Oryzias latipes: one gene and its partner. The main gene of each other region encodes a partner of the protein of the gene in region 2 in a complex. Links are inferred from orthologs where the notes say so. Each region holds a gene or a part of one and is shown on either strand. Other genes may lie near its edges. The genes, in order: washc3 and washc4.

Evidence for each region.
Region 1: washc4 (region 2) and washc3 share a complex: the UniProt entries of both Homo sapiens proteins name them as parts of the WASH core complex. The link is inferred for Oryzias latipes from reciprocal best matches to the Homo sapiens genes WASHC4 and WASHC3.

What each region holds. Positions count from the first base shown.
Region 1 is NC_019881.2:17,520,767-17,525,206, reverse strand, and holds the start of washc3 (WASH complex subunit 3), read right to left. Parts: upstream 2,833-4,440; 5' UTR 2,684-2,832; coding exon 2,633-2,683; intron 2,317-2,632; coding exon 2,218-2,316; intron 1,532-2,217; coding exon 1,466-1,531; intron 1,375-1,465; coding exon 1,237-1,374; intron 85-1,236; coding exon 1-84. Other genes in the region: zinc finger protein 252, read left to right, coding at 3,521-3,560, 4,072-4,274, 4,352-4,440. UniProt on the Homo sapiens protein: Acts as a component of the WASH core complex that functions as a nucleation-promoting factor (NPF) at the surface of endosomes, where it recruits and activates the Arp2/3 complex to induce actin polymerization, playing a key role in the fission of tubules that serve as transport intermediates during endosome sorting.
Region 2 is NC_019864.2:31,032,749-31,037,007, forward strand, and holds the start of washc4 (WASH complex subunit 4), read left to right. Parts: upstream 1-1,337; 5' UTR 1,338-1,428; coding exon 1,429-1,489; intron 1,490-2,867; coding exon 2,868-3,007; intron 3,008-3,086; coding exon 3,087-3,140; intron 3,141-3,211; coding exon 3,212-3,277; intron 3,278-3,346; coding exon 3,347-3,392; intron 3,393-3,480; coding exon 3,481-3,548; intron 3,549-3,629; coding exon 3,630-3,712; intron 3,713-4,129; coding exon 4,130-4,172; intron 4,173-4,244; coding exon 4,245-4,259. Other genes in the region: tripartite motif-containing protein 16-like, read left to right, coding at 1-383. UniProt on the Homo sapiens protein: Acts as a component of the WASH core complex that functions as a nucleation-promoting factor (NPF) at the surface of endosomes, where it recruits and activates the Arp2/3 complex to induce actin polymerization, playing a key role in the fission of tubules that serve as transport intermediates during endosome sorting.

The DNA of each region.
Region 1 (4,440 bases), on a different chromosome or scaffold from region 2:
TCGTGGGTCTTTGGCCACTGTGAGGACATTCTCTGCAACGGCTGCTGCTTTTTGCTCAGGAGCTTCTTGTCGTGCCTCCTGAGGCTGAAGCATGAAGAAACGTTGAAAAGCAGCTTTAAAGGAAACTATAATCCTGATGAATATGGCGAAAATAATATCTGTACACTAAACAGATGCTCAGAATGTTTCTGTAACGCACACAGGCAACCAGATCCCTGCTATTCAGTCTATATTACTAACTGGTTCCTTATTTGTTGTGTAAATAAAGCAAGATTGGAAATTTCAAAACTACAAAAGAGAAATATGTGGGTCAAATCGAGATCAGCTTGAAGGGAATGAAAAACCACAAAGTAAAATTAAAAACAATTGAGAAAATTAGTGAACAGTTTTAAATTCAAAAGTACACTTTGGTTATTTTAATTAAATTAAATTTTAAAAAATAAATAAGTAAATAAAAGTACATTCTCAACTTAACATAAACCTAAACTTGTCATCAATTCAGAATTCTGACTGTTATCTGGGGCTTTGAGCCCATTGGCTACCTGGACATGATTGACATCAGGTCATAAAGGGTATGATGATGTCATTTCCGCTCCACAACAGCGGTAGTTGTTGGCGCCGCCTGTGTCATCCCTCCTCTGATGTGGCGAACAGTAGTGATAATTCTCTCCCAAAGTTTGGTACATCAATACAAAACAGCAGCTGTTACAAATATATGTTAATTTTCATTTGGTAACAGTTATAAGTTTATAGTTTTTCTTTTTAATTTTAAGTTTCAACTTAAAAAATTATTTTTCAAATTTTCTATATTCCTCTCAAGTTTAAAATCTTTTTTTTTTTTTCAAAGTTACAATTATACTTTTCACATTTACAACATTTCTTTCACATCTGTTTTTGAGTTTAAAACAGTTTTAAATTTTATTTTTTGTGTTTTTTCCTTCACTTTAGGTTGATCTGGATTTGACCCCATAGGAATTCTACATTACACAAAAATTTTGTAAAGCTATTTTAGGATTATTTTCATGTTTGTCATAAAATAAAATAAGAAAATCAATAGAGATAATTATATATTAAAAAAAACTATAGTAAAAAGGTAAATCATCGGTCGACCTTTCACAATATGAATGTACCATAATCCTTATGTATCAGGTTTGAATCTATAAATTTGTGAAAAACTGTGGGGGAAGGGGGGGTTGGGATATTTGTGTCTTTTTTATAACAAGTCTGAACACTCACCACTGAGGAAGGAACTGCTCCCACTGAAGACCCATCTGTTTGGATTTGACTGGTTGGAGTGGGCCCATTTGTCTGCACACTGTGCTGCTGGTTCAGTCCATCTACTGTGACCTCCTCCAGCCCGGGAATGGAGGCCAACTGCTCCACAAAGACAAAAAACAACAACAAAAACATTTGTTAAAAAAAGAAATGACATCCATGACAATTTGAAAAGGGTGTGACAGCTCACCTTAGCCTCCAAAATGCACAAGGTGGTATCAATCTGCTGGATGCGAAGGGATATGTTTGCAAGTTTCTGTGGGGGAAATGTTGATATTTTGGATTGATCGAGTTCCCACCATGAGGGCTTCACACATTTTGACACTGATAAATTCAAAGTCAATCGAGTTTAAAGTCCCAATCATCAACTTTTGATCTATATTGAATGTGTTTCCATTGGTCTTTTAACTATGTTAATGTTGTTTTTTAGGCAAAAATGTAAAAAAAAACAAAAAAAAAACTGTTGTTCGACAGTTGGTGCAGAGTAAGCCCGCCCCTACTTCCTATCATCCATCTGTTTACATGCTCTCCCCAAGCTTACAGCCCCTCAAACACCCGTAAACTGACATTAAGAGGACAACAAAAATGGCGAGCAATTTTGGAGCTATCCAGCCGTACAGTTTAGAGCCAGATTCCAGTTCAGACGGGGAAAACAGAGACATACATGGATCTATTTGTCTGCAACAAATGGATGCATCAGCATGGAGAGGAGCAGGAAGCTTGTGACCCATCCGCCGCATTTTCTACATCACAAATACAATCTTTTTCAAACTGCATTTTTTCGTCTGCTCCCGATTTACAACAATTTGAATTAAATAATACTCAAAAATGCAATTGTAAGCTTAATTCCCTTAAGTATATTGAGATGAATCCCACAAGAAACACGTTAAATACAGGATTTCCATCAAAGTGGGTCTTTAACGATGTAAAAGATGCACAAACCTCTTCACAAACTGTGGAAAATCGGTTCAGGAATCGAACTGTGTGGACAACAAACTGATTGAGATAGGCAACAATTCGTCTCTGCTGTATAGCTGGAACCTAGAAGGGAGTTTAAAGTCATTTAATCAGGAAAACGATGACACATGAGAGCGAGTCCTATCAGATTCTGGAGAAATTTAGAGTCATGCTTAGTGCCAGCCTTTACAAAAACATGCATTTTAAAGTAAAAGAAAACACGAAAAATAATTCTGCAAATACAAAATCGTTGGGAATATTGATTGAATCCTATTATAATGTGATTAAAATCATGTTTATTATCCCATAAAGTCTTACTTGACTAATCTTTCAGCTACTTCTTTCATTCCCACGGAGATCTACAAGCGAACCATGACTGTTAGCTAAAAAAAACACAAACCTTCGTGAGGTCAACTCCAGACCCCACGATTGGCAAACCGTCCTCGTCCATGCTGGGTCGTTAAAACTCCGCGCAAACGTCCAGTATCGTTTATAATCTGTCTACATGGGGTGTAAATAAAGAAAACAGCACATTAAAAAGGTTTGTAGTGAAGGTTTCATGTGACTTGCGTAATTACGTCATAGCGCGTCCTATTCCTCTTGTCACTTCCGCTATATTGCACCAATGGCCTAACACTTCAGCTTTTATTTTGAAAACTTTAAAAAAATGTGTCTAAATAGAAAAATAAACAAAAAATTAAATAAAAAGAATTACAAGAAGAATGGAGAGGATTTAAATAAAACTACAAGGATATTTTCAGGTCAATGAGTAGAAAAGCCCATTGAGACGACTGTTGTTTTGAATTTTGGCTACACAAATAAAATTGAATTGAATTAAATTGAATTAAATTGGATCTGAAGTTTAAAATTGATTAAATAATAAATATCAACACTTAAAACCCTAATTCCATTTTATAGCACTGTTATTTCACATCTGGTTTAAAATACTATAAAGTTTAGTCAACAACCAACTTTATCACTGCGGTGAAACGTCTTAGTTTTTGGGCATTTAACTTGTGCACATAATCTATTGATAATACATTTAAAACAATACCATCTTAAATAAAAAAATATACATACTGAAATATTCGTGTTTATTTGCGAATATGCATAAACTACATAACAATGTTTTCGATTTTGAATCTGAAAACTCTTATTTTGAAAGCGGAACCCTCAAAAACATTGGAGGAAACGATGTTTGCGTCCCAACAGCGCATGTTAGCTAGAAAAACCAATAAAAAATATTTTTTTACAGTTACTGTTATTTTCAGACTTTTAACGCTGGACTATGCAAATGGACGTTTTTGGGTCAAAGAAGCAAACTAATCGTAAGTGTATTCAGATTAATAAATGTAGTCGTAAATCACGTTTATGCTTTGAAAATACTCTTTGGGACCCGACTAACTTAAGGAATGGTGTGGAGTATAAACTGGCTAACTGTTAATGTTGATGAAATCACAGGTAGTTTTTTTCTGTTATGTGATACATTACGTTTACAGACCAGTTGTACTTTTTATTGTTGTTGAATTTTAATCGTTTCAGTCAATATATTCCCATGTTAAATCGTTAACATAGATGTAAATCCAGCATTTATTTCAATTTCATAACAGATCATGAAAGGCACATCGCCAATTTAGCATTTGTTAAGGTTAAGAAAATTCTTTTTTAGACAATTTAATATCTTAAATTTAAAATTCAGCACATCATTTTTTTATTTGTAAGGTAATGCTACTTTTGAGTGGGGGTTTTTCACCTCTAGTAGTAGCATGAACATGCCTAAAAACAGGCTAATTACTGCCCTCTATAGGCAATATTTTGCATCACACCTTTCTTTTTCAGACCCCAGCTTGCCTCTGTCATCCCTGCGTCTCTTGGTTCCCCCTCTCCAGCTTTTGTCTGCTGCTGTGTGGCATCTTGCAAAGCATAAAGATGTGTTAAATTACGACAAGCTGCAGGACTTTGTGTCTACTGTGACAGAGGCCATTCCTGGCCTAATCAACCCCCTACAGAAAGCCCAGCTCATTCTTGGACTAAGAGCTCGGGTGAGTGTCTTTTGTGTTGCATAAAGGAGTGTTTGTAGTCTATATCTTATGGCTGAGTAAATATTGTCATATTTCAGTTGATTTTGGAGCTGTGTAAAGGCTCAGTTCGAGGGGAAATTGATTTTGAAGTTATCCAGAGCTACTTGGAGAGATTCTCCGTAACTTC
Region 2 (4,259 bases):
TTCTGAGTAGAGAGAGTCTGACTGGACGTTGTTACTGGGAGGTGGAGTGGAGAGGAGAACCTATTTGTGTAGCAGTCGCATACGACAACATCAGCAGGTCTGGAAGAGAAAGTGAATTTGGTTTTAATGATAAATCTTGGTCATTAGATTGTTCTTCAAACAGGTTCTCATTTTACCACGACAGCATAGCAACCTCCATCTCAGCTCCTGGTTCCTCCAGAGTAGGAGTGGACCTGGATCACAGAGCAGGTGTTCTGTCCTTCTACAGCGTCTCTGGAAGCATGACTCTCCTCCACAGAGTCCAGACCACTTTCACTCAGCCGCTCCATGTTGGACTGTGGGTGGGTTCTGGATCCACAGCAGAGTTGTGTAAAGTGAACTAGTTTCAGAAAGGAGTGAAATGTTTGTTTTCAGTGATTTCATCTAGAACTAAACTTTTGAACTGTTCAGATTCTGTGGAGTCATGTTTGTAGTCAGAAATGGAGAGAAAGGAAAATCTCTAGAATGTGGATTGGAGACATTTTGGAATATGAATGTCAAACTTTTGGGAGTCCAATCTGTTTTCTTTGAACTTTGGGATTCCAATGGTTTTGTGTTGTTGTCATGGGAACTGAAGGAAGCTGCAACACAAATGGAGTCAGTGAGGTCACCATCCCAGACTTTCTCTGGTTTGTTCTCCACAGAAACACCAAGAGAAGAAGCTGAAGGAGAAGATTGTGTTTGTGGAAAGAAGAACATTTAAAACTTTGTGTTCTTTCTGCTTCATTTGACAACTTTGAATTGAAGATTTGTGTTTTCATGTCTCTGTTCTTCAGAGAAAAGTGGTTTCTGATCATGTAACAATAAAAATCTCCTGTTTCCTGAACCACAGTGGTAATTGAACCCTCACACTGATGTCCAACATGCAGACTCCTGGTCTTCAGCGGTCCAACAGGAAGTTTGTTGTTACGTGCATGCATGCTGTGCATGTGCACTCCAGTGACGGGCAGTGAAGTTTGTGGCCGGGGGTGCACTTTCAGATTCAGTTTTACTCATTTATGTGCTGACTACTGATTGTGTTGCTTTTCTTACTCTTTCAAAACACAAACAGTAACAAGAACATATAGACCAGGGAGTAAAGTAACATGTATGAATGTTGTCCATCTACACACACTTAAGGATTTATTCCTGCAACATGTTTTGTGCTTTTAATTGTTTTTCTCTTACCTTAAAATAGAACAAACAACGTTTTTTTATTCCTCTTCCACATTATTGCGTTGGAAAGCACTTTGAATGTATTTGACAGGGGGTCTGTATTGCACACCAGGTTTATTTACCCTGGACTACATTACCCATGAGCACCTGCTGTGCAAATCACAAGATCTGTCATGAGATCCCGTAGCTTCATTTTTTAACAACACCGCGTTAGTTCTGGTCAGTTCTGGTACCATGGCGGTGGAAACCATCGCGCCCGACTGGGAGTTTGATCGTTTTGATGACGGTTCTCAGAGTAAGTGTTTTATCGAGCCGCGCGCGCGGAAGCAGCCGCGGACGTAGTTAGCTAAGCTTCGCAATGCTAGCCCGAGTCTTTTCGGTCGTTTCGGTATATGTTGTTGCAAAGCGGAAATCGTCTCCATATGAAACTACTTTTCACATGAAACATTTTATCTATACTTGTTTTATGCTTGCTATAAATGTAGGTCGGACAAATGTTCAACGCACGCGCGTGTAAATGAGAGCTAGCTAGCTGTCAAGTTAGCCGAAGTCTGAGTGACAGCTGGTCAGTTTGACAGCAGCGCGAATTAAAGCATTCTGACTTTCACTTTAGGAGAACTTTAAAGCTGCTATTTCTACGCATGTCAACCTGATGTTCCTAATCATTTAGTTTACATGTAAATGTTATTTACGGAAGCCGTGGAGGACTTTTCCACTCAGAGCCCTTTAGTTTCTCATGACAAGCTTTTCACAGACATTACTGTGTTTGTGTTCATTCACATTGTTTTCCTGTTCCTCTTTTATTTATTCTAGTTGTTATGTTCCACCATTTTTAGCCACTTAACTCCTCCTACAATTTTTCATCTATTTTAAGCATCCAACTATTCAAATGTTCAGCTCTTTTAGCTTTTCAGCTTTTTCAGCTATGACTTCAAATCCTTGAACTATTCCATTGAAATACATGGAGAATCCTTGGTGCAGAAGCTCGCTGGTTCAATTCCCGGCTCTGGCATTTTTCAAAAACATATCTTTTTTGTTATTGTGCTGTTTTCACCTTATGGTCAACTTTGATCATTTCCTAGTTTTTTGTTGCCAATTATTACCCTCTAAGCTCTCGAGTCATTTGAGCAGCTGGGTAGCACGGTTGGTAAGATGAGAGGCCACCATGCAGGAATCCAGGGTTCAATTCCCGGTACTTGGGCAAATATCATACCAGTGGTGAGCAATCAACATCAGCCAGTGCGGGCCCTTAGGCAAGACCCCAACGCCTCGCCTGCAGCTCACCGCTCCCAAATTGGTCAAACGTGGAGAAAAATTTCCCCATTGTGGGATAAATAAAGTATCTATTATTATTATTCAGCAAAATAGCATTCAATCCTGCTTTTTCTTCTGGAAATGCAGCTCCTCTGAGTTTTTCTTGGATGCTGACGGAAGACCCGTCTGTTCTCTGCGCCTCCACGCTGCTCCTGAAACGTCCTCATTGGTTGTGTTTCATTTTTCAAACACGTTTCTGGTTTGCTGCTCGCTGACCGTCTCACATGTGAACGAGCTCGTCACGAGGCGTCCTCATTTGGTCCGTTTGGAGAAATCTGAGGATAACCATGCTTTTGAAAAGGAGCAGGTGTGAAAGCTTCAGCTCAGGTGTTCTTAACCTTCAGCGTTCCTCTTGACAGAAATCCACACGGAGGTCCAGCTGAAGAGCTACAGCAGGTTTCTGGAGGAGTACACTTCTCAGCTGAAGGGCATCGAGGAGGCTTTGGACGACTCAATCGGAGACGTTTGGGACTTTACGCTGGACCCGATCGCTCTGAAGGTGAACGGTCCTGACACGGCCTCTGCTGCTCCCGTTAGCGCCGCTGAAGTCCAACTTCTGTCCGTTTGGTGTCTTTCAGCTCGTCCCGTATGAACAGTCGTCCTTGTTGGAGTTGATTAAAACCGACAACAAGGTGAGCAGAAGCTTCTGACTGCAGTTCTTGTCCTGAATCTCCTCCCTGCTGACCGCTCCTGTTGCGTTCAGGTTCTGAACAAAGTGATCACCGTTTATGCGGCTCTCTGCAGTGAAGTGAAGAAGCTCAAGTATGAGGTGAGCGCCGCGCCAGCCGCAGCAGATCGGGTCGCACCACGCACTCATTTACTGGCGTTTCTTTTTCAGGCGGAAACCAAGTTCTATAACGGCTTACTGTTCTACGGAGAGGGGGGTAATTCCTCGTCTGTTATCTACCGTTGTTGCAGCTTTGACCTCAGCTCTTCGTCTTCCACAAACGCTCCTCCTGGTTTGTGTTGCAGTGTCGGAAAGCAGCGTCGTTGAGGGAGAGTCGCAGATCCAGATGGGCAGATTTATTTCGTTCTTGCAGGTGGGCATGAAGGCATCTCCTCCATGACTTTGTTTGCAGATGTCTTCTGGATGCGGCTACAGGAGCTTCTCTGTGTCACAGGAGCTGTCCTGCTTCGTGTCCCGGTGCTACGAGGTGGTGGTCGGCATCGTCCACCAGCTGGCTGCCGTCTACAACAGCAGCAAGTAAGACCAGACACTGAATCCAGGGAAGGAAGCTCTTCCTGTTCATGAATCTGCTGGAAGATTCACCTGCAGCCGCACCCGAGGAGACGAGCAGTTTCCATGGAAACGGCAGCATCTTTTAGCCTTCAGAATGTCCCTCTTTGCTGTTTCGTGATGGGATCGTTGCTTAAACTCTTCTGATTCCAGGACCTCCTGATGGGATGAAGGTCCACCTTTGTTTGAACCCAAACCATCGCAGTCAAATATTCTTTTGTCATCGCCATAATGAAGGAAATCCTCTAATATTAGAAATTTAATGGAAAAAATCACTTAATCTAAATGATTTAAATCATTTTATTGACAGATTCTGATTCATTGTTTTGTGCGTTAAGTGCTTTTCTCTCCAAACGTCCTGATTTCTCTTTGTGTGAATCCAAGGGTCGCACCAAAGGTCATCGAGACGTCGGGGGTTCACTTCCAGGTGACTTTGCAGGTTTTTAGTAAAAGTCTAAAGCAAAGCGGTGCAGCCTTTTCTCACGGCGCGTCTCTGCAGACGGTGTACGAACAC